5 linked regions of the Cricetulus griseus genome follow. The main gene of each other region encodes a partner of the protein of the gene in region 5 in a complex. Links are inferred from orthologs where the notes say so. Each region holds a gene or a part of one and is shown on either strand. Other genes may lie near its edges. The genes, in order: Arrb1, Dlgap5, Gtse1, Cltb and Cltc.

Region 1 (4,440 bases), on a different chromosome or scaffold from region 5:
GTGGGAACAGTGAGGAGTCAGCACACACTACAGACTCACCTTTCCATTGGGGCTTGCCTTCTTGAACACTCTGTGAAAAGAAAGAGAGGCCAAGCCAGGGTTAATGGATTCTGCCCAGCCAATCTCTTGCAGGCGACCCTAGACAGGGCCATAGATAAAGGCCTTGAGTGTCCTACAGGGACCAGCAAAGCCTCAGAGCAGGACAGCTTCCTTCCTTCCACCTCTCCTCCTAGGATGAATGTTAGCTGCCTGCAGCCCTCCTTCAATCCTTCAGAGTGGGCTGAGGGAGACTCACAAGCCCACCCAGCTCGAGTAAAGGAAAATCCTTCAGTGCCTGCTAAGTCCCAGTGATCTGACCTGGCCTCTTTCCCTCCCTATGTCACCTCCTGCCACCCTCCCTTAGTCTCCAGCCTCACTGCTCTCCAGCCCCTCTGTTCCTCGTTCCTTATCCACCAGGTGATTGCTGCACAAGGCCTTTGCTCCCAGTTTCCCCTACCCTACTCTCTTACCCTGGACACTCTTCCCAAATGCCCACTTTCCCAATCCCACTACCCCTGTCAGCCAGTCCTTCTCTTGATTCACTCTTCCTTTCTTCCCAGCAACCCCCTGACCATATACTTTACTTCTTGCCCCACCTGTCTGCTCTGCTGGCATGCCCGCTCCAAATATGCCCACTGTCTCTCCTGTCCACGGGTACATCCCAAACACACACAAAGGCACACGTCACTATTGTTCAAGAAATACTTGTTAAATGATTGAGGGTGGCAAGAGTACAATATAAACTAGTTGAACAGATAAATGAATGAATTTCATTGCTTCACTGAGGGACAGAGGCACAGGAATGTGGGGGCAGATGCCTATGCTCGAATAGCAGAGCACTGGGCCTGAGATTAGATGGTAATGTAGTCCCTAAATCCTGAAGAGTGCCACTTGCCTTTCATGGCAACCTTTCCCCTTCTAGAGCTGTGTCTGGGAACCCGAGTCTCCCTCGCCTAAGTACCTTTATCCAGCCCACAATTTCTCAGCCATTACTGGGGAGAGGCAGAAGAAAAGTGAAAGCTAGAGAGATGGGGATGAGGAAAGGTATTGAAAGGAGGGGAGGTGTGAAGAGAGAAGAGAGAGACAGAGGTAGAGGTATGAAAATAAAAGATGAACAAGAGACAGGAGGAGAAGAAAACCAGGGAAAGAATCAGAAAGCCTGAAGCAGGGAGAGATGGGACAGACCCAGAAAGGTGAAACCCCTAGGCAGCCTCAGCAGGGTGTGCCCCAATCCTTCCCAGAAGCTGATCTGCAGGCATCCAGGCCTGTGACTGTGTGGGGTCTCCACAGCCATGGCCCTGCCTCACCCTCCCTTCTGGGACCTAGGGAATATTGACAGGTCTGAGTATTGCTTGCAAAGGAGAGCGTGGCCCAGCCTCTCCCCAAACATTCCCCTAGGGGCCCTGGGAGCCTTGTCTTCTCATTAATATTTATCAGTGTTGGGAGTGTGAAGAAGCCACAACTGGCCAGGGTGTGATAATTGTTAAAGTAAGGGGAAAAAAATGCAGACCACTCCATCTGAACCAGCAACTCCAAGCTAGAAGCTAGGAGCTCCATGTTTCTCCAGGAAACCAGAGAAGTGAAAACCCTGTGGCTTCCAAGTCACAATTACCTCCAGCCCTTGGTAGCCTGTGCTCTAAGGAAAAGGAAAGATCTCACACCCAGGCAGGATAAACAACTGAGAGAGAAAGCCACTCTAGTGGCTGCCGGGAAGGACGAGGCACACGTGGGGCCAGGAGGAGCAATATTCACCAAGCAGCGGAGAGAGGCAAAGGGGAGGGGAATTAAAGCTCTGCCGAGCAGCTCATTATTTCTCATAGTAGAAAGGATAGTCTAACTCCCACTCCACAGATAATTAACTGGAGGCTCCAAGCGATGCATTAACTTGCCCAGGAGCACAGCAAGCAAGGGGCTAGGTCGGGACCCAGACTCACTTCTGACTGGGCCTCCAGAGATTGGTGCCTTAATCCAACCCACTGTTTCCTAAATCCATGTTTCAAAACGGCAGGAAGAACAGACAAGAGGGGAGGGAGAGAGGGATAAATGAAAGGTGACTGGGGTGAGGGGCAGAGTGGGGCTGAAGAGGGGCAGGAAGCACAGCCATCAGTGGGGAATGTCCTGCCACTACCTTAGTCAGCACCCGAGGCCACCTCCTTCAGGAAGCCAGGACTCTTGTGGCTTCCTCAAACAACAAGAGCAGCTGCCTCATTCTCTGTCTGTTTATTATTCCCCACTCATGCCTTTAAGTACTTTTCCCAGGACAAGGCTCTTCCTGGACAATCCCATTTCAAAGATGGAGACATTGAGGCTCGAAGAGGCACCCACGAGACTCAACCACTCCATCACATAGCCAAGCACCACCACTCAAAACTCCACTCACTTCTTGCCCCAACACTGTCAGAAAAGAGGCTCTATGGGGTATTTTCCGTTTCCACAACCCCACGTGTGCAACACCGCATAGACCTCTCTGCCCGTGGCCTAACCTAAGCCCACAATCCCAGCCAGCCTTGCTGAGCAGCTGCGTCTGTTCACCCCCAGCCTTGCCTGTGCCCCACAACCTGAGCCTTAGTCACAGCTGGGTTCCCCAAAGAGAAAGACCAGCAGTGTCCTTCCTGGTTAAGGTTCAGGATAGCTCGAGAAAGAAGAGGAGGTCCTAATAAGGAGGCCAAAATCTCACGGGAAGGATGAGCAGGCAGGATGCGCTGGGGCCGGAGCTGAGAATGGGGACGCCATCGGAGCCTCAAGCCGTAGCTCCCTGTCTCCACCGCTCCTTCTGGGGCTGCTGCAGGGCCTCCTGGCTGCGAGGCTGTCTGTGCGGCTGCTCCATTGTCTCTGTGGACCAGCGCGCCCCGCTTACTCAGGGATTTTTCTGCTCCTCCATCCTTTGGGCTCGCATGTGACTCACACTCCAACCCTGTTTCTACCCTGCCTCTCACTCAGCTTCCCGCTGCTAACTGACTGAATGGCCCAATTCCAAATTCCCAGGAGAGGAATCTGATTGGTCAGCTTTGATTAGGTACCCCACCCCCTGGCCCAATCACCTGTGTCCAGGACATAGCCTGTGGTCCATGAAGCATGAGCAGAAGAGGCTCTGGAGATTAGTATTGTCCAAACCAGAGGTTGCAAGTCACTGGTTGATTAGGAAACCTACTTAAAACATTACAGGTCGGAGAGCTGGCTCAGTGGATAAATCGCCTGCTTCACAAGCATGAGGACTTGAGTTCAGATGCCCAGTACCCATGTAAAAGCTATATGTGGCAGGCTGCACCTGTAACCTCAGCACTGGGAAGGCAAAGATAGGCAGATCCCGGGGGCTTCTGTGGCCACACAGTCTGGCCTACATAAAGAGCTCTGGGTTCACAGAAAGCTCCATGTTTAGTGATGGGCCCTGTTTCAAAAAATTAGGTGAAGAATGATAGTGGAAGACATCCATAGTTGACCTCTAGCCTCTACGCACACATACACATACAGTACGTACATACACAGAGATCCTTTTTTTTGAGGCAGGGTCCTGGAACTCAAATACAAACAAGCTGGCTTCAGACTCACAGTGATTCTCCTGCCTCTGCCTCTCAGGTGCTGGGATTAAAGACATGCGCTCCTATGCCTGATTATATTTTGAGGTTGGTTGTTTGTTTTCAAGACAGGGTCTCACAAATGTAGCTCTAGCTATCCTGAAACACACTATGTAGACCAAGCTAGCCTCAAACTCAGAGATCCTCCTGCCTCAGCCTCATAAGTGCCACTACACCTGGCTTTATTTTTTGATTTTTAATGAAATGGGATGGACTAGACTATAGAAACAAGTGCTACAGGCAACAAAGATGTACTAGATACTCCCTACAGGCACCAGGATTCCCTGAGGCTGGATGTATGGGATGCCAGGCATCTTCCTTCCTGTGGAGTTGGACGCCCCCCTGTGGCTTATTCTGACCAATGAAATGCGGGTGCAAATGTCACATGCCACTTTCAGCCAGAGGCACAGAAGGAACCATCCATGGGTCCCCAAACCCTTCAAGCTCATTTTCTGTGGCTGCTATTTACAAAGTCCCACGAATTCAGTGGCTTCAAACAACACAAACTTAACTAGAGTTCTGTGCTTCAGAAATTCAAGTGGGCTTCCTTGAGCTAAAATCAAGGTGTCAGCAGCCCTTGATTACTTCTGGGGGGTTCTAGGGCAAATCTGCTTCCTACTCTCTCTGGCTTCTGGAAGCCTCCTCCTTCCTCCATCTTCAAAGTCAATGAGAGAAGGTGGCCTTCTCATTATATACGGCATCACTCAGATCTGCCCTCCCTTTCCTTTTGAAAACCATTGAGATGACACAGGGACCATCTGGGTAATCCAGAATGATCTCTCTGTTTTAAGGTCATCGGATTAGCAGCCTGAAGCCCATCTGCAAC
Region 2 (3,865 bases), on a different chromosome or scaffold from region 5:
GCTTCCTGCCATCTCCCATCTCCCATACCGATTTTATTTCTAGGCCTACAGTAGCACCAAACCCCCCCAGAATTTTATTCAGTACTGTAAGTATCCCAGAGGCTAGAGAAGTTAAAGGAACATGACAATGTCTCCAATATTAAAAACATGAAACTTAGCTTCTTTACTTGACAAAAAGTCATGCCCAATTCCCACCTAACATACTTAATCCTCTCCCAAAGCCTTCCTTCATTGCTGTATTTAGAGGACCCAGAAATGTATTGAAGTCCACTCTGTGCTTTTCTCACTCTGATCTGCATTTCATGCAGTTAGTTTGCAATGCATACTAGCAGCACAGTAAACAAACAGCAGCATAAAGATGAAGTCTGGGATGGATTACATTAAGAGATGCTTATGCAAAGGATATTGTGAGTGCAAACTTTCTTGGCATCTAGCCAGAAACTGTTCTAAGTCACCACTGATTTTCATACTTTCAATTCAGACAAATAAATCACTATGTCTGCAACTGATTTTTGGTTGAATATGGAATTACAAATTTTTGAAGGGGGAAAACGGTACAATATGTTATTTTCGTAGCAATTATCTTTACACAATGATACCTTAGTGTGTTCCATATGGTCTCTGGCCTTTGATCTTGTAATACGCCCATTGTATGGACAAACCTTTAAAAAGTTAAAAAAAAAAAAAAGATCAATTTAAAAAACAAACAAACAAACAGGCAAAATTTATTCCATGTCTCAGTTTAAAATTGAAACTTTCCCCTAAATTAAGTAGTTATTTGTTTTGTTGCAAAATTAAAGGAATTGACTGTCTGTTTTAAGTTAAAACCATAAACACACCTTTTCTGGCTCAGCTTTCACACTCCTCTGGTCTGCGATGAGAAAGCCAGGTGCAGCAGGTCTGTAGAGCCCCACTTTAAACACGCCTCGCTTAGCTTTCTCTCGTTGCTCTTTCAGTTTTTGAAGTTGCTTTTCTTCTTTGTATTTCTGAAGGAGCTGTTTCCTTTGGTCACTCAGGACCATTTTCTCTGACTCTTAAGGGGAGAAGGGTGTCAAACAACAGTCCATAAAACATTTTAAACAAACTATTACCAAAACATTTTTGGTTGTTTTGGGTCTTCTTTTTTTTTTTCCTTATTTTTCCAGACAGGATTTCTCTCCGTGTAGCCTTTGTTGCTCTGTAAACCAGGCTGGCCTTAAACTCAGAGATCCGATTGCCTCTGCCTCCCAAGTGCTAGGATTAAAGGAGTGTGCAACCACTGCCTGGCTTACATCAAATTTCTAAAAGGACATTTTGTCTAATTTCATTTGCTAAGAAATGCTTTTAATCCTGTCCTGTTAACTCCTTAACACTGTAAAACGAGTTATTTCAAGCTCTAATCAGTTTGAAAACTGTAGTCATTGTGTATGCCTTCATTTGCAAAATTAGAAAAAATATTGGTGCATTGATTATGTCAGGCTGAATCACTCAAAGAACTTTAGAACAGGTCACTTGGTCTGCCTTTTCCTATATTCAACAAGCTTGAAAAATGTTGTTGGTATCTTTTGACATATACCTACAATCTATCACTTGAGAGACAGAAGCAAGAGGAACGAAGGGTCTTGGCTAGCCTGGCCTTAGCAATGCCAGGCCAGACAGGGCTATCTATTGAGACCTGGTCTCCAAAAACAAAAGGTTCTTTTGGGAGTCTACAGTTCAGCGGAAAGCACTTGCTTGTCTGCCTAGCCTGGGTGAGGCCCTAAGTTCAATCCCTAACACTTTGCAAACAAAACAAGTCTTTGGGAGTGATGCCATTCACACACAAAGTCCAAGAGGACAGCCTTCCTCACTGGGGCTCCAACTTTGGAATATACCAGCTCTTCCATTATTAGCCTTGCCTCCTTAGCCTCAATTTGTCTCTTAGCAACAATCCTGGGACTTACTACCTTGTTCTGTCCCTCCTTCACAAGTTTGCTGACCTCTGGTCTAAGAAGCATCATACCTTGGCCATTTCTTTGAATTTCATTTTCTCTATGAAGAACTCCCCCCATGTAAATTTTATAAGCTTTTCTGTGAACTGTCTCACACATTAATTAGGTTCTTAGACCCAGTTCAAGCCCACAAAAGATGTGGGCCCTTGATGGGATTTTTTTTTGTTTTTGCTTATTTCAAGTTTTTCACTTATTCCTAACCCCCACGTTTTGCTAGAGTAGAAATTACATCTAAGGGTTTTATTAGACTCAAGTTCAATCTTTGAAGCAAGAATATTATCCTAGGTGATATTTCCATTCTCTTTTGAACCCATTCCTATCTGGCTTTCCTTCACTCTTCCCAGCTTTCAGTCAGGGTCTCACTATATGTCTTTAATATGCTTCTGCCTCCCGAGTACTGGGATTAAAGGCATGAGCCACCACAGCAGGCCCCCAATTATTTTCTTAAAATCATCTCTCCTTACATGCCTAATAGGCATAACTTCAACATGTCCAACAGCAGGCAGTATTTATATATTTGTGCATACATACATATAAATGCATATGTATTTAATAATAATATAAGGCTATCAACTGGGGGGGGGGTTCAGGAGGGTTTGGAAGGATGATACCTAAGAACTGGAGGGAGGAAAGGGAAGGGAAAATGAGGTAATTCTATTTTAATTTAAAATTATTTTTTGTTTTTGTTTTTTTGAGACAGGGTTTTTCTGTGAAACCGTCCTGGCTATCCTGAAACTCATTCTGGAGACTAGGGTGGCCTTGAATTCAGAGAACCACCTGCCTCTGCCTCCCAAATGCTGGGATTAAAGGCATGTGCCACCACCACCTGGCCAAAAAGGAAAAACATGTCCAAAATTGAACTCTTAATTTTAAAATACCCTTTCCTAAAACTATTGTCTGCTACAATATTCACTCTGTATTTCAGTTGTGTTCAGACCACAAAAAAAGTCTCTAGGCCTTTTCTATTTCCTGAAAACTCTGTAGATAGGTAATTCTCTCTCTCCAAACAGGCCCAGTTCCTTTTTTCTTCTTCAAATATGTACTATTCACCTCAGATGAGAAGAAACAAAAACCGGCAACTATTTTGTTCAGCTTTTGCCCCTCACATTTCTTCAGAATCACAAAAACGACAAATTTGGAAGAGAGCTGGACATGGAGGCAGACTTTAATCTTCTAGCCCCAATACCACCTTTTATAAAACCAGGTTCAAATGCACTGGGTACACAGGCCACACTGATCCTGAAAAATTATAAAATAAAACTTCTAGGGGCCAGGAAGACAGCTCAACGACTGAAATGTTTGCTGAGCAATACTAACAACATTGACTGTGATCTCTGGAACCAATATAATGGTGGAAGGAGAGCTAAACTCCACAACACTATCCTCTGATCTCCACACACACAAGCCCGAGTATGTGAACCACAAGCATGCCGGAGCCTGTGGAGATCAGATGCCCTGGAGCTGGAGTTGCAGAGGGTTGTGAGCCTCCATGCCAGGAACTGAACCCAAGTCCTCTACAAGAACAGTAAGCACTCTTAGCTGTTGAGACATCTCTCCAGACCCACTTCAACTTACTTGGAAAAGTACTTACAATAATGAAAGGTCTTTACTTACTTGTTTTGGTACTGGCCTTTTCTGAAGCGAGGTCTTGCGACACCTCATGTATATTAACAAGCTCTTTCCCTTCCAGTGGAATGTTGGCATCTCTCAAGCCCAAGTACCTGTTTCGTTCATACACCTTGTATCTGTTTTCCTTCTGAGATATTGACTTCCTGTGAGCAATGCTAGTTCGAATCATTTCAGTGCTTAAATCTTTCCGAAGCCGACTGGCAAATTGGGATAAAGGCATCCTGTTAAAAAAGAAAAATAAACACCAACTTAAATGGATTTTCATT
Region 3 (3,865 bases), on a different chromosome or scaffold from region 5:
CCCAGTGTCTCACATAATCTGGTTGGTGTGTTCTCAGAAGTGCCCCAGGGAAGAGAGCTGCAGGCTCAGCCCCTATATTGTTGAAGTAGACCTTCCTTCTCCCTTTATTCTCTGCACTTTAGCTACCCAGAGCCACCTGTGAAAGGTGTGGTCCTTAGACCACTACATCAGAATTAGCTAACTGTATTAATAATGCAGGCTATTAGGCCAGCCTGGATGACAGGCGGTCAGAGACTGATGTTTATACTAGTTTTATTATCCTACATTTTATAAAATTAAGGCTGGATAATGAGTCTCCTATAATGTCTGGAGAAATGGAAACAGTGCTCCATGCCCAAACATCAAGTATATAAAAAAAAAATCAAGCATACTTTAATATACTGTACTTTATAATTTAATTTAAATCTGGAATATTTAACTTTTCAAACAAATTTAAGTTTACAAACAGTCATTTGCTATTTTACATACAAAAGAATCAAAACAAAGTTTTTAGAGAGGTGTGTTCAAGCCTAGAGGAAAGGCAGGGAGCAGGACAGCCACACAGGTGGATTGCTTATATCCACAGTGGAGAATCCCACCCGGGCACCGTTCCAGACACAAGCCTCCCCCGAATCAAATACAGTTCCTTTCAAAATTTGCTTCTATGGGCCTAAAGCCACAACAGAAATAAACAGAGTAAAGGGCAGAGTTGTGCTTTGCTCAGAACTTGAGAAGTGGTGAATCCACATTTTCTTTGTCAGCCTCAGGGCTCAGATGGATCAGTGGGGAACCCAGGTCAATCAGCTGGAAGAGAACAGATACCAAGGTAAACACAGTTGCCTGGGCAAGCCATTGCACAAAAGACACAAGCAGGTCCAGTGGCTGATCCAGTCCCACTTGGAGCCCAGGGACAGAAAAACAACTCAGCACAGCAGCGAGGCCAAGGAGACTCAACCACCGTGTCTAAGACTCTTAGATAACCATCAAACCCATAAGCACTGTGTGACTCCCTGACACAGCAGGGAGGAACATGTGGTGTTGGGGATGTGACTGCTGCCCTGAGAGCTCCTCCAGGTCCAGCAAGATGCCTGATGGTAATGGGTGACCATAGAGAAGCCAAGTCTGCCCAACATGAGTTCGAGACACAAGCGCTGTGAGCCCCAAGGGCACCATGCAGGGCCCAGGTCTGATAGCACCCTGAGCTGAAGTCAGCATGAATTCCCTGCAGCTTCTCACCTGCCCAAGCTCAGCCTTTGGAGGTTTCCCCACATCATTTCTACCCATGTCTGGAGTATTCATTACAAGGTCAATCAGGGGCCAGCTGCTGGGTCCCAAAGCCATGTTGGACTCAGGGGTGTTGCTGAAGTCTATGAGAGGGCGGTCAGCTAGGTCTCTGCCTCCTGCTTCAGGAGTGATGGTGAGTTGGTCCAGCTTGATGTCCAGGAGAAGACCCTAGGCAGGATGTGAAGAGAGGGGAAGTCCAGTACCACATTGGTGCCCAGCCACCACCCTGGGAAGCCAGGCTTTGCCTATGACTGAGGACTCACAGCCTGGGGCCCAAGGGAAAGGCTGGAGTGGACCCTGAGTGGGAGTAAACTCCCCTCTCGGCAGTGTACCCTCCCCATCCACAGCTTGTTCCTGCTCCTGTTCCCACCATCTGATCCCCCACCAACTCCTTTGTCAAACATTTCTTTAGTCCCTAGTCCTGAGCCCCCCCCCCCCCCCCCCCGAGTCTGCTGAAACCATAGGCCCAGCCACAGGGTGAAGGAGGAAAGGAACTGTGAGTCCCTGTCTGTGACTCTCCATGAACCTCAGATGGCATATAACTGCAGCCAGCTCCATGTACCTCAGTGGGGCTTGTGTTGTCTTCATGAGGCTCTGTTTCACCCTGAGCTGCCTCTGTGGTGGAGCCATGGGAAGGAGGAGATTCACTCTTGTTTGGAGAAAAGTCAAGTGCTTGAGGCACACAGGATGGAGCAGAAGAGCTCTCATCTGAGGACTGACCTTGGCCCTGCCCACCATTGGCATTGCTCCTGCTCTCCTGGGTCGGCTCCACTCTGGGGAGGAGAGTAGGGGAAGCTGTAAGATCTTTCTAACACACCTTTCATCAGCTATGGCGTGAAAGCGATCGCTGAAGCAGCACCCGACCAGGGCCAGAGGCCTGCTCCAGTGGCCTAACTCTAAGGACAACCTCAATGGTTAGACCCTGATCTCTGTGCAAGAGGCCCAGAGATTTCCAAGGCTCCTTTCACTTCTCCAATGTTATCAGTTGAGTGTCACCTTGTGCCATGCCAGTCCTTTTCTTTTATTTATTTATTTTTTTATTTTTTGTTTTTTTTTTTGAGACAGAGTTTCCCTGTGTAGCTTTGGAGCCTGTCCTGGCACTCGCTCTGGCCTCAAACTCACAGAGATCCGCCTGCCTCTGCCTCCCAAGTGCTGGGATTAAAGGCGTGTGCCAACACCCGGCCAGCATCAGTCCTTTTCTTTAAAGCTACTAAAATTACATAGGAGGGGTTCCACCTCTGCCCACAGGCTGTGGTTAGCCCCCTCCAGGCCTAGGTGAGCCAATCGCCTGCTGCTGGAGTGCCCTCCCACTGCTCCCTCAGGAGGCCTGGTCCTGCACTCTGGTCTGACACGGCAGTCTGTCTACCACACGCCCGGCACTAATGGGTACACCTGGTATACCGTGCACAACCTCTAGTCCAGCCTATTTCTTGTCTCCTATCTGGCACCAAGCATAGCCCTGAGCACCTGATGCGGTAAAGCTAAATGAACTGTGGAAACGGTGAACAGTAGCAATATCCACAAACTAAAACAGAATACACACACACACACACACACACACACACACACACACACACACACACACACACATTATGCTTACACACACACACACACACACACACACACACACACACACACACACACACACACCACACACACACACACACACACACCACACACACACACACCACACATCATGACACAAGAAACACATAAGACACAACAGACTCTCACATGCGCACACATGCAGGACCTCTGCTTCCCCCCACACACCTCTGCCTATTTGCAAGCAGAATCTTGTGTTTCACAGAGCTTCTTTTTCTATTTCTCCTATCTGCTGCCTGTACCTTACCAGCACAGGGACCCCTGAGGTCTGGGGAACTACAGACAAAAGCTCACTCAACCCTTGTTTTTACCTGACTGTAGATCTTCTTCTGGGCTCAGAAGAAAGTCGCCTGGCAGGCACACAGAGTGGGGATGCCAGAGCCCTGGGCATGGACTGAGGTGCCATTAATGGAAGGCCAGAGAGGCGCCGACTGGCAGGGGTGGGCAGTGTTGACATCCGTCTCATGCTCACAGGGGTCCTCATACTGCCGGGCAGCCCTTGTTGAGTGGGCCCCAATGAGCGTCTCACAGGGGTGCTGCTGAGGACCCTGGTGAAGACATGGAGATCTTAAACAGACACCAAAGTTGGATAGAGCCTGAGTGGGCTGTTCTTGGGAAGGGGCTGCATGGGCAGGACTCAAGGTGGCAGCCCCCAGGAGACCTTGGATGAGTTCCAGGTTCCTCTGCAAACAATGCCTCCACCCTGCCCCACAGGTAACTACATCTTTGAACATGGCTGCCTTTATGGTGCCATCCATGGAAGAGTCAGAGGGACTTAAGGAGATACTCATTCCAGGAGATTTTCTCTAAAAAGACATCTGGGCTCCCATCACTCCGGCAGGTAAACATGGTGGTTTTCACCACTTGCCCAGCCATACCCAGGTTTAAGATCCCCATCAAAGGTGAGAACTGAGTCAGGGAACAGTGCTTCCTGGCAGTTCCCATGCCTTAACCACCATCTGTTCCAAATGTTACTTTGTTGTTCTTAAACCAGAGG
Region 4 (4,448 bases), on a different chromosome or scaffold from region 5:
GTCCTGATGAGCTATGACGGCGCTCACCTCACCCACTCAGATAGGGTTTCTACTGAACAGGAAGCCAGCTCTCTAAATGAGGGTGAGCCCAAACAGGTATGAGTGGTAGCACACTTGCCAGGGACCATTCCTGATTCTGTGGCAACACCTTTGGAGAAGTTGCACTACCTCTCCTGTCAAGGCCACATGAGTTTCCTGGTGCCCACCTCAGCCTCCAGAAAGATGGAGCATTGTCAGCCTCCTGGGGACTGTATACACACCCACTCACAGAATCACCAGTGTCTATTCCACAGTGTTCTCTGGCTCTTACACATTTATGATCCTGAGTCCACAACAGAGCCCACAGAATAAATACAGCAAGGCAAACACAAGCCCCAAGGATAAGCTGTTCCGTGTGGGACCTCCTCAGATGCCTGACCCATTTGGGAATCCAGAACATTCCTGTGAGCTTACTGAGGCCCAGCAGGGGCAACAGGATTACACAGAGCTGGCCCACAAGTCAGGCAGGCCAAGAGCCCGGAACACTGGGTGTGAAAATGTAGCCCATTTGGGCCCTACCCAAGGCTGATGAATGGAAACAAAGTGTCGATGCCCCAAGCCTGCTGCAGATCTGCTACCAGAGCAGGCTCAGTTGGGGCCAGACAGGATTTTCCCCAGGGCCTCCTGAGAGCCCGCATTAGTTAAGTCAGCATAGGAGCTGCTCATCAGAAGACCCCATCGTCTAAGGGGAGGTAACTCAGTTTGCACTGGTGGCTGCTGTTGGAGCCTGCTTCTTCCCAGCTCCCAGAAGGCCCAAGCCATTTCCCTCAGACCACCAAGGCTCCTGCCAATCCCTGCTGCTCAGAAAAGGATGGCTGCCTAGCGTTGCCTAGGCTTAAGAGCATCAGGTGCATTCTGTTTGTGCCTCACACCCGTTGAGCTCTGCTCCTGAAGTACCTCCTTGTTCCTCAAAATGCCACTCAGGAGGGCAGCTGGGCACCTGCAACATCACGTGTAGGAGTCTGGAAGACTCTCAGAGGGCTGTGTCCCTGGCAGCTTCCCAAAGGATTATCACTCACTGTCTCTTTCCCTGTCATCTCATAGCAAACCTAATCAGACAGTGCACTCCCGTCCAGCTCTAAGTCCCTGAAAAGACCACAGCTTGCTAAGTCCCAGACCCTAGGGCTATCCTCAGCCTGAACTCCATCTGTCTTTCTCATGAGTTTCTAAAGACCTCCTGATATGGGGACAAGTAAGTTCCATGGAGGAGCCTGGGCAGGTTCCCTGAGAAAATAAAGGGCCTGTGCTGAAGAACCGAGAGCCTGCACGGCTGGCTTAGTTAGGTCCCTGCTTCTCCATGCCACATTCTGTCATCTTCTAGGCAGAACTACTCAGTTTTTGGAATAACATAGTATGGAGCTAGGAGGACTGAAATCAAGTGCCCAGAGCCACAACTCATGGCTGTGTGAACTTAGGCAAGATACTCAAACTCCAGTTTCTTCTTCTTTTAATTATTATTATTTATACTGTTTACTCATATGTGCGTGTGTGTGTGTGTGTGTGTGTGTGTGTGTGTGTGTGTGTGTTTGTGTGTGTGTGTGTTTTCGGTGCACAAATGTGTGACAGTGAGTTCTCTCTTACATGTGGGTTCCAGGAACCAAACTCAGGTGTCATCAGACCAGTTCACCTTTACCCACTGAGCTGTGGTGATAACCCCTCAAACTCCAGTTTCTTGTGTGTCACAAAAGGGTTACTGCATTTCTCCTGGCAGAGTTGACTCAACCCCTCAGCCATAGATCCGGTTCCTTCATTCTGTGTCCCCAGTGGGGATGGCAGCACAGCAAAACGTTCAGTGAAAGAGATCTGACTGTTAAAGAGCCTTGTGAACATATACATGTAATATTCATTTGCAACAAGCCCACTAAACCTCTCTAGACTTACAACAAAACATAGGAAACAAGGTCTATTAGGCGTGTACCCAGGATTTAACAAATTTAACAAATTGTTCCTTGAGGCAGAAATATAAATGATAAACATAACATTGCAGGAAACAGGTCCTGCACCCTTATGTCTGAAACCATCCACAAAGGTCCTGGACCACCTTCGTAAATCCACCAAACACGGTTACAAACAGGAAGGGTAGGACTCATAGCCCTTTGTGCCCCTGTCCAGACTTACATACAGCCCGACACACGGAAGACTGTGTGGTCAGGATACGAAGGACTCAGAATCGGACAGAATGGGTTTAATACTTGACCGCTACTTCCTAGCTGTTTGAATAGCGTACCTTTTGAGGCTTCCTGTGGCCAGTTCTGAAATGGATTCAGGAGCGTGTGTGTGAAATTACTAAATGTAATTAACATGTCTCCTCCAGCGCTGCAGGGCAGCAGGTGGTCCTGGAGTGCCCCCTGCCTCCCAGCAGAAGGAAGGCTGGGCCCTGGTCAGGAGGACTGCGTCCGTCCGTCCGTCCACACCTGTACCACTTCGCTAGGACACTGGACAGAGAATGACTCTCAGAGCCGAGCAGGGGGAGGACTGCAGAGCCACACGGTGGAGGCGCTGGCCTGGGGATAAAATGTCACGACGGGATTCCTGTCCCCAGAGTCAGCGGATCCAGCCTCAGCCCGGACTCCGGCCGCTTTCCCGGCTCCCTTTCCCGGCTCCCCCCTGCTGTGCCAGGCCCCACGGACACACACAGCCCCCGGGTGCCCGTGGCCAGCCCAGACAGCCGGGCCCGGGCCACTGCAGGGACCCCGGCCGGCTGCGACCGGGACGGGCCTCCTGCCCGCGATGCTGGCCGCCGCAGCCCCGGCTCCAGGCCGCGGCGCTGACTCACTCACTCACTCACCCCCGCTCGCGAGTCCCGGCTGCGCAGAGGCCACCTGGCCGCCGCCGGCAGGTGCCCCGAAGCCCGGGTCATTCTCGATGCCAGCAATCTCGCTCTCCTGCTGGGCCAGGAAGGCGGCGGCCGGGTCCTCCTCGGCGGCCTCGGGGGCCCCGCTCTCCGACGACGAGAAGAAGCCGAAGTCCTCAGCCATCTTCCCCGCGTGGCTGCTGTCACCTCCCGCCCGCGCCCGCGGCCCGCACTTCCCGTCACCCGCCCGGCTCGCCTGTCACTGCGGCTGCAGCGGCGGCGGGAGGAGCCGCGGCGGGAATGCGGTGACGTCACGGAGAGGGCGGGGCCCGCCGGTCGCCCCGCCCCGCCCCTGCCGCGGGGCCCGCCCCCGCCCCCCACTCCCCCGTGGCACGCTAGCCCAGCCGGCTCCCGAGCACCGGGGCTGCGCGGCCACCCAAAGCTTCTTCTGCAGCCGGTTTTATGAGCGGCGTGACACGATCGTCCTCCTCCTGCGTGGGAGGAGGACACTGAGGCTGGGAGGACTCGCGAGCCCGGTCGGTGCAGCAGAGCCTTGATCACTTGGTCCGGTGTAGCATCCCGCCGCCCTATCTTGTGACGGTCCCCTGAAACTAGGAGGGGTCCGCTCTCCCTGTGTCTGGTGGCATTGGTGTTCATGAAGGCAGCAGGCCGGTTGTTTGCTTTGGTTTTTCGAGACAGGGTTTCTCTGTGGCTTTGCAGGCTGTCACTCTCTAAACCAGGCTTGTCTCGAACTCACAGAGATCTGCCTGCCTCTGGCTCTGGGAAGTGATTTTTTTTTTTTTTTTTTTTTTGAGCTCTTACATTTCTTTATAGTTATTCAGATTTAAAGTGACCCCCGGTTCTTAGCGCAGAATGTCAGTTTGTCCTTTTATTGATTAATTACGCTCACGTTGGTCACTCACTCTGTTAAGGTGGAGCCTGCTTTCTCCACAGTAAAGTTGCTATTTTCCTTGGTAATTAATATATGTTTTGAGACTGCCGATGCTATGCCAGGCCTCACACTCCCACCTCAATCATCATTTTCTTTCTTATTTATTTATTTATTTTGATTTTTTATTATAGCCATAGGCTAGGCTGACCTCGAATTCTTATATAGGTGAGTCTGGTTTCAAACCTTCCTGCCTCATCCTTCCAGATGCAGGGCTCATAGCACCTATAGCACCTTTTTTTTTTTTTTTTTTTTTGAGGATTTTTTTTAATTCTTTGACAATTCCATACATGCAAGTAATAATACATCCAGATCATTTGCACCCCCTCTCTCCTATCTCACTCCTCCGGGATATCCCCAACACACCTCCCTCCCCCTTAATAGCCTCTCCTTTTTGTGTTAATAACCCACTGAGTTCAATTAATGCCACCTGGTGGAAAGTTACGTGGTTGATGTCAGCCCCCAAACAGCATTTCCCAGCATTCGTCCCCAGCCTCTCCTTGTAACACTCTTTCTGCCTCCTCTTCTGCAGTGTTCCCTGGCCCTTGCTGGTGGCGTTGATTCCGATGTCCCACACAGCGCTGGGCATTCGGCAATTGCTTATTCTCTGCACTTTGACTAGTTATGGGTCTGCATCAGCTGCTGACCGCTGCAGAGAGAAGGTTA
Region 5 (3,865 bases):
CTATCTACTTGAGAATGTGCCTTGGAAATGCTTCCCCGGGTTAGTGAAAAACTCAGAGGTAGTAATCTATTCTTCAGAGTGCTGTACCTCTTTGTCTATCAGAGGAATTTAAGAATCATTATAATAATGAGCAATAACTAGCACTTTAAATTTGAGATTGCAATTATCATATAGGTATAAAAACTTGTGTACTGTGGTACTTTAGTTAGATTCACTATGATTGATTTGAGCATTGTGTGTGCTATTAGGTACTATTACTGTGGTTGTGTGCATCAATGCGTTCAGGTGCATGTGCATGTATCAAAGTGTCTTGATACCAGGTGTCTTGCTCACTCTCTATTTTTTTTTTAAAGATTTTATTTATTATGTATACAACATTCTGCTTCCATGTATATCTGCACACTAGAAGAAGGCACCAGATCTCATTATAGATGGTTGTGAGCCAACATGTGGTTGCAGGAACTGAACCCAGGACCTCTGGAAGAGCAGTCGGTGCTCTTAACCTCTGAGCCATCTCTCCAGCCCGCTCACTCTCTACTTTTGATAGAAGTCTCTCCCTAAAGCTGGAGCTCATCCACTTTGACTGCACTAGCTGACCAGGATGTCCCAGAGGTCCTCCTGTCTCTGTCTACTTATGACTAGGGTTAAATACAGGGACCCCTAAGCCCAGCTTGTATGTGGGTGATAGGGATGGATGTGAACTCAGGTCTTCGTGCTTGCCAATGGAACCATCTCCATGACACTTACTTGGACTTTTAAAAAAGAATTGGAGATAGGCTCATGATTCACTCATAGTCATCATCTCCCCTCCTCCAAGTCACTTGGATTTTTGTATTATATATTATCAATTCTTATTGTGTGCTGACTTACAAGAAGAGATGTTTTAAACGTCTTCAATTTAGTCAACTTTTCAGGTAGTAATTTGTAGTCAATCCTAATTTATTTCCTTTTAATGATGATGAACTTAAGATAATTACATTTTTAGATTTCTCTTTCCTTAAATTTAATGTATATCTATGTATAATTTTGTATTTATTTAATATAATTTTAATGTTCTTTAACTTCTGCTTTCTGCTATAGTTAAATGACTCATTTGAGTTTATCTAGGTATATAATGAGAGGAAAGTATTCCAAGTCAAAAGGAAGGGAACCATTTTTGCCATTTTTACCTGGTCAATTAGTGGTCTTCTGTATGGATTGCTTTCCAGTAGCACACTACCCCACAATTCTGGATCTTTTCGACGGACCAAGTAGCGGGAAAGACTTTTGAACAGGGAATTCTCATTGCAAACCTAATGAAAATAGCAAGGGTTAATTTCAACACAAAAAGTAAAAAGACTGCAGATGACTCTGAACGTTATTTGCAATCATGTCAACTCTTTGTTTTGTAAGAAATCTATTACTTCTATATAATCTCTTAGGGATGCCAGTCACATATTCTCATGGAAACCCAACAAAGGAAAAAAAAAGTTTCAGGGGCTTTAAGAAAGGATTCCATTATACAATCTGCTTACTTTTTTGAGATGGTGGTCTCATGTACCAGAGCTTCAAAAACCTATCTCCCTGCTGGAATTACACACATTCACTACCATACTCAGCTTACTTTCGATGTTAAAACATTATTAATATTGTATTACTTTAAATTATAGGGTGGGGTGGGAGCAAGAGTATTCCCAGTAGAAGTGTGTGATCTAAATCCCACCACAGAGAACCATTACAGAAGTACTTGATTGTAGCCCAAAGGCTAGGAAGTAATACAGGGAAACTCAAAATGAGAAATGCTTTACTTTTGGCCAGGCACACATACAGTTGAAGGAGACAACAGATTCCTACAAATTGTCCCCAACTTCCACATGCATGTGCAAAAAATAAAATAAAATAAACATTTAGTTTACAGAACATACAGAACAGACAAACCCACAGGGGTTCAGTGTGATTTGTCATTTGTGAGGGTTCGTGGGAAGCAGGAGTATAGAGAAGCTTTACTGAAAAGAGGACCTCTTCCTTAATGATGAGACCCTGAAAGGTGGGCAAGAATAGTGATTATGTAACACTGTGTATTAACTAATAGCCACTTAATTGTTTACTTCACATTGAAAACTTTGGGGGCTGGAGAGATGGCTCAAAGGTAAGAGCAATAACTGCTCTTCCAGAGGTCCTGAGTTCAATTCCCAGCAACCACATGGTGGCTCACAACCATCTGTAATAAGATGTGGTGCCCTCTTCTGGCCTGCAGACAAACATGCAAGCAGAATACTATATATATAATAAATAAATGTCTTTTTTTAAAAAGACATTTTTAAAAATGGAAATTTTGGCTTTTATTCCACAAATAAAATTTTTTAAGAGAATACAAATAAAATTAGGAGTTTAGCAAAGGTATCCATCATTAAAAAAAAAATACATTTCTAAGAACTGATTCATTATAAAAATACTACAGAGGACATAATTATGATCCTAAACTACACAAAAACCTGACAACACTGAAAGAAAACAGATCCTTCAAAGTACCTAATGTCATATTGACTGTAGCTAGTATCTATGTGAAGATACTTTTTCATCCTTAGAAAATAGAGCTCAAAGGGGCACAAATCCATGAAGTATGTAACAGGTAAAATGCTATGTTCAGGTATGTATGACCATGTACAAGAACAGGTAAAGCTAATAGAGTTAACATGCCAGATCAGGAAAGAGTATATACACACTTTACATTTTGAGCACATTTAGGTTTACTACTTATTTCCAGTTAAAGTTTTAAAAAAGCACCTCTCTGCCCAGAACTGCTCCAAAATACCTAAAATCATACAGAAATTCAAATTTTGCTAGTCAAAAATACAAGCAGTTAAAGGGATACAGCCGCCTTTGCACATGCTCAGCAAGTAGTACTTACATTGATGAGTTCCAGGTCACACTGGCCACGTTCATAAGCGACGCAAGCCAGATGTGGGTCTCTCTTCTCACAATACTTTCCAACAACACGACTGTCATAATAGGGGTTTTCACGAAGAAACCTTTCAGGGTTGTTATTACTGTCGATGTATATTTTGGCTAATGCATTGTGAGTAGCAGGTTCCTCACAGCCCTCATGAATTCTGGCCTCAAGCCAAGGTAGAAGCAGCTTCAATCTAGTGAAACAACAAAGCCCCAACATGCTATGTTACAAACGGCACAATCCTCTGGTAACTATAGAAATATAGTCACATTTCAGGGAAAAAAAAAAAAAAAAAGGCCAATTTCAACTCTGAAAGCTAGCCTGAGCCCTTTCCATTAGCTGCCGAGCAGCTTCAGATCATCAGTCAGCTGTATGTCAGCTATTACTACACTACTGGGGCTGCAAGGTCATCTGTTGTAATGTGGAAAAATAGTACTACACCTGTTTCTTTTTTCAACTTCAGCCACAAGCTCATCAGTAGAGAATTGACCTCTCACAACGAGAATCAAATTTTTAATAACATCTTCTGAGCAGTCAACATCAAGCAACCCTCCAATAACCACGGGGAGTCGACTTGGATTTACCTAGGTTTAGAAAAGAGAAAATAAAAAGCACATCATTTCATCAACAAGCAAAACTGACTTAAAAATCTAAAAGACCGTTTTCTTTTTAAAGCCCATAAACTGTGAATCTAAATTTCCAGTCAGATGCAGAGATTTATCAGCGTAAGTCCACTTTTAGAAAGGCCCCAGAGTCTGGTCAGAATTGAAAGCACTTGCCCCATAGACTCCCATGTTGGTTTGCTTACTTAGTTCTACCTAAGGATTACTCCAAATGCTAAGTACAAAACCAACAGCAGCCAAGACAACCATGGAAGATTACCAAGTGCAAAAGCTTCAATTACAGCAAAAAAGCCCTGCTAGAATACCTTTA

What was found.
Region 1: the proteins of Cltc (region 5) and Arrb1 are in contact, whole or in part, in a crystal structure (PDB 3GC3), measured with the Bos taurus proteins. The link is inferred for Cricetulus griseus from reciprocal best matches to the Homo sapiens genes CLTC and ARRB1. Residues at the interface, in NP_776448.1 of Bos taurus: His12, Leu13, Gln14, Gln16, Asn17, Leu18, Gly19, Val50, Asn56, Asp57, Pro58, Ser59, Asn60, Ile62, Arg63, Arg64, Pro65, Ile66, Ser67, Ala68, Lys78, Ile80, Leu82, Lys83, Ala84, Thr87, Gln89, Phe91, Asn92, Ile93; in NP_776668.1 of Bos taurus: His30, Ile31, Asp32, Leu33, Val34, Glu35, Pro36, Pro96, Thr98, Arg99, Tyr173, Pro175, Lys355, Thr374, Asn375, Leu376, Ile377, Glu378, Leu379, Asp380.
Region 2: the proteins of Cltc (region 5) and Dlgap5 are in contact, whole or in part, in a crystal structure (PDB 7ZX4), measured with the Homo sapiens proteins. The link is inferred for Cricetulus griseus from reciprocal best matches to the Homo sapiens genes CLTC and DLGAP5. Residues at the interface, in NP_004850.1 of Homo sapiens: Val50, Arg64, Pro65, Ile66, Ser67, Ala68, Leu82, Lys83, Ala84, Thr87, Gln89, Phe91, Ile93, Lys96, Ser97, Lys98; in NP_055565.3 of Homo sapiens: Gly833, Asn834, Leu835, Ile836, Thr837, Phe838, Ser839, Pro840, Leu841.
Region 3: the proteins of Cltc (region 5) and Gtse1 are in contact, whole or in part, in a crystal structure (PDB 6QNP), measured with the Homo sapiens proteins. The link is inferred for Cricetulus griseus from reciprocal best matches to the Homo sapiens genes CLTC and GTSE1. Residues at the interface, in NP_004850.1 of Homo sapiens: Val50, Arg64, Pro65, Ile66, Ser67, Ala68, Leu82, Lys83, Ala84, Thr87, Gln89, Phe91, Asn92, Ile93, Lys96, Ser97, Lys98, Asp143, Arg144, His145, Trp164, Gln182, Leu183, Tyr184, Ser185, Arg188, Lys189, Val190, Ser191, Gln192; in NP_057510.5 of Homo sapiens: Ser686, Arg687, Pro688, Leu689, Ile690, Asp691, Leu692, Met693, Ser707, Pro708, Val709, Val710, Gly711, Gln712, Leu713, Ile714, Asp715, Leu716, Ser718.
Region 4: the proteins of Cltc (region 5) and Cltb are in contact, whole or in part, in a cryo-EM structure (PDB 6SCT), measured with the Sus scrofa proteins. The link is inferred for Cricetulus griseus from reciprocal best matches to the Homo sapiens genes CLTC and CLTB. Residues at the interface, in NP_001139599.1 of Sus scrofa: Gln1291, Arg1293, Gly1294, Phe1296, Lys1326, Phe1327, Gln1354, Ala1355, His1356, Pro1382, Thr1383, Glu1413, Phe1414, Lys1415, Pro1416, Leu1417, Gln1444, Pro1446, Leu1447, Thr1473, Glu1474, Glu1475, Glu1503, Leu1504, Ile1505, Arg1508, Leu1533, Lys1535, Met1538, Lys1562; in XP_005661527.2 of Sus scrofa: Pro100, Ser102, Trp106, Gln110, Leu114, Ser121, Thr124, Glu125, Trp128, Arg129, Ala132, Asp135, Leu136, Trp139, Val147, Asn150, Lys151, Asn154, Arg155, Asp158, Tyr162, Glu191, Trp192, Lys194, Val195, Leu198, Cys199, Asp200, Phe201, Cys209.

Annotation. Positions count from the first base shown.
Region 1 is NC_048596.1:99,979,999-99,984,438, forward strand, and holds the start of Arrb1 (beta-arrestin-1), read right to left. Parts: upstream 2,995-4,440; 5' UTR 2,773-2,994; coding exon 2,717-2,772; intron 71-2,716; coding exon 40-70; intron 1-39. UniProt on the Homo sapiens protein: Functions in regulating agonist-mediated G-protein coupled receptor (GPCR) signaling by mediating both receptor desensitization and resensitization processes.
Region 2 is NW_023276807.1:203,456,738-203,460,602, forward strand, and holds part of Dlgap5 (disks large-associated protein 5), read right to left. Parts: intron 3,821-3,865; 5' UTR 3,820-3,820; coding exon 3,585-3,819; intron 1,034-3,584; coding exon 840-1,033; intron 663-839; coding exon 600-662; intron 1-599. UniProt on the Homo sapiens protein: Potential cell cycle regulator that may play a role in carcinogenesis of cancer cells. Mitotic phosphoprotein regulated by the ubiquitin-proteasome pathway.
Region 3 is NC_048595.1:382,678,666-382,682,530, reverse strand, and holds the end of Gtse1 (G2 and S phase-expressed protein 1), read right to left. Parts: intron 3,417-3,865; coding exon 3,180-3,416; intron 2,037-3,179; coding exon 1,826-2,036; intron 1,432-1,825; coding exon 1,216-1,431; intron 784-1,215; coding exon 700-783; 3' UTR 372-699; downstream 1-371. UniProt on the Homo sapiens protein: May be involved in p53-induced cell cycle arrest in G2/M phase by interfering with microtubule rearrangements that are required to enter mitosis. Overexpression delays G2/M phase progression.
Region 4 is NC_048596.1:273,637,840-273,642,287, forward strand, and holds the start of Cltb (clathrin light chain B), read right to left. Parts: upstream 3,117-4,448; 5' UTR 3,018-3,116; coding exon 2,828-3,017; intron 1-2,827. UniProt on the Homo sapiens protein: Clathrin is the major protein of the polyhedral coat of coated pits and vesicles.
Region 5 is NC_048600.1:99,949,276-99,953,140, forward strand, and holds part of Cltc (clathrin heavy chain 1), read right to left. Parts: intron 3,517-3,865; coding exon 3,374-3,516; intron 3,126-3,373; coding exon 2,891-3,125; intron 1,293-2,890; coding exon 1,170-1,292; intron 1-1,169. UniProt on the Homo sapiens protein: Clathrin is the major protein of the polyhedral coat of coated pits and vesicles. Two different adapter protein complexes link the clathrin lattice either to the plasma membrane or to the trans-Golgi network.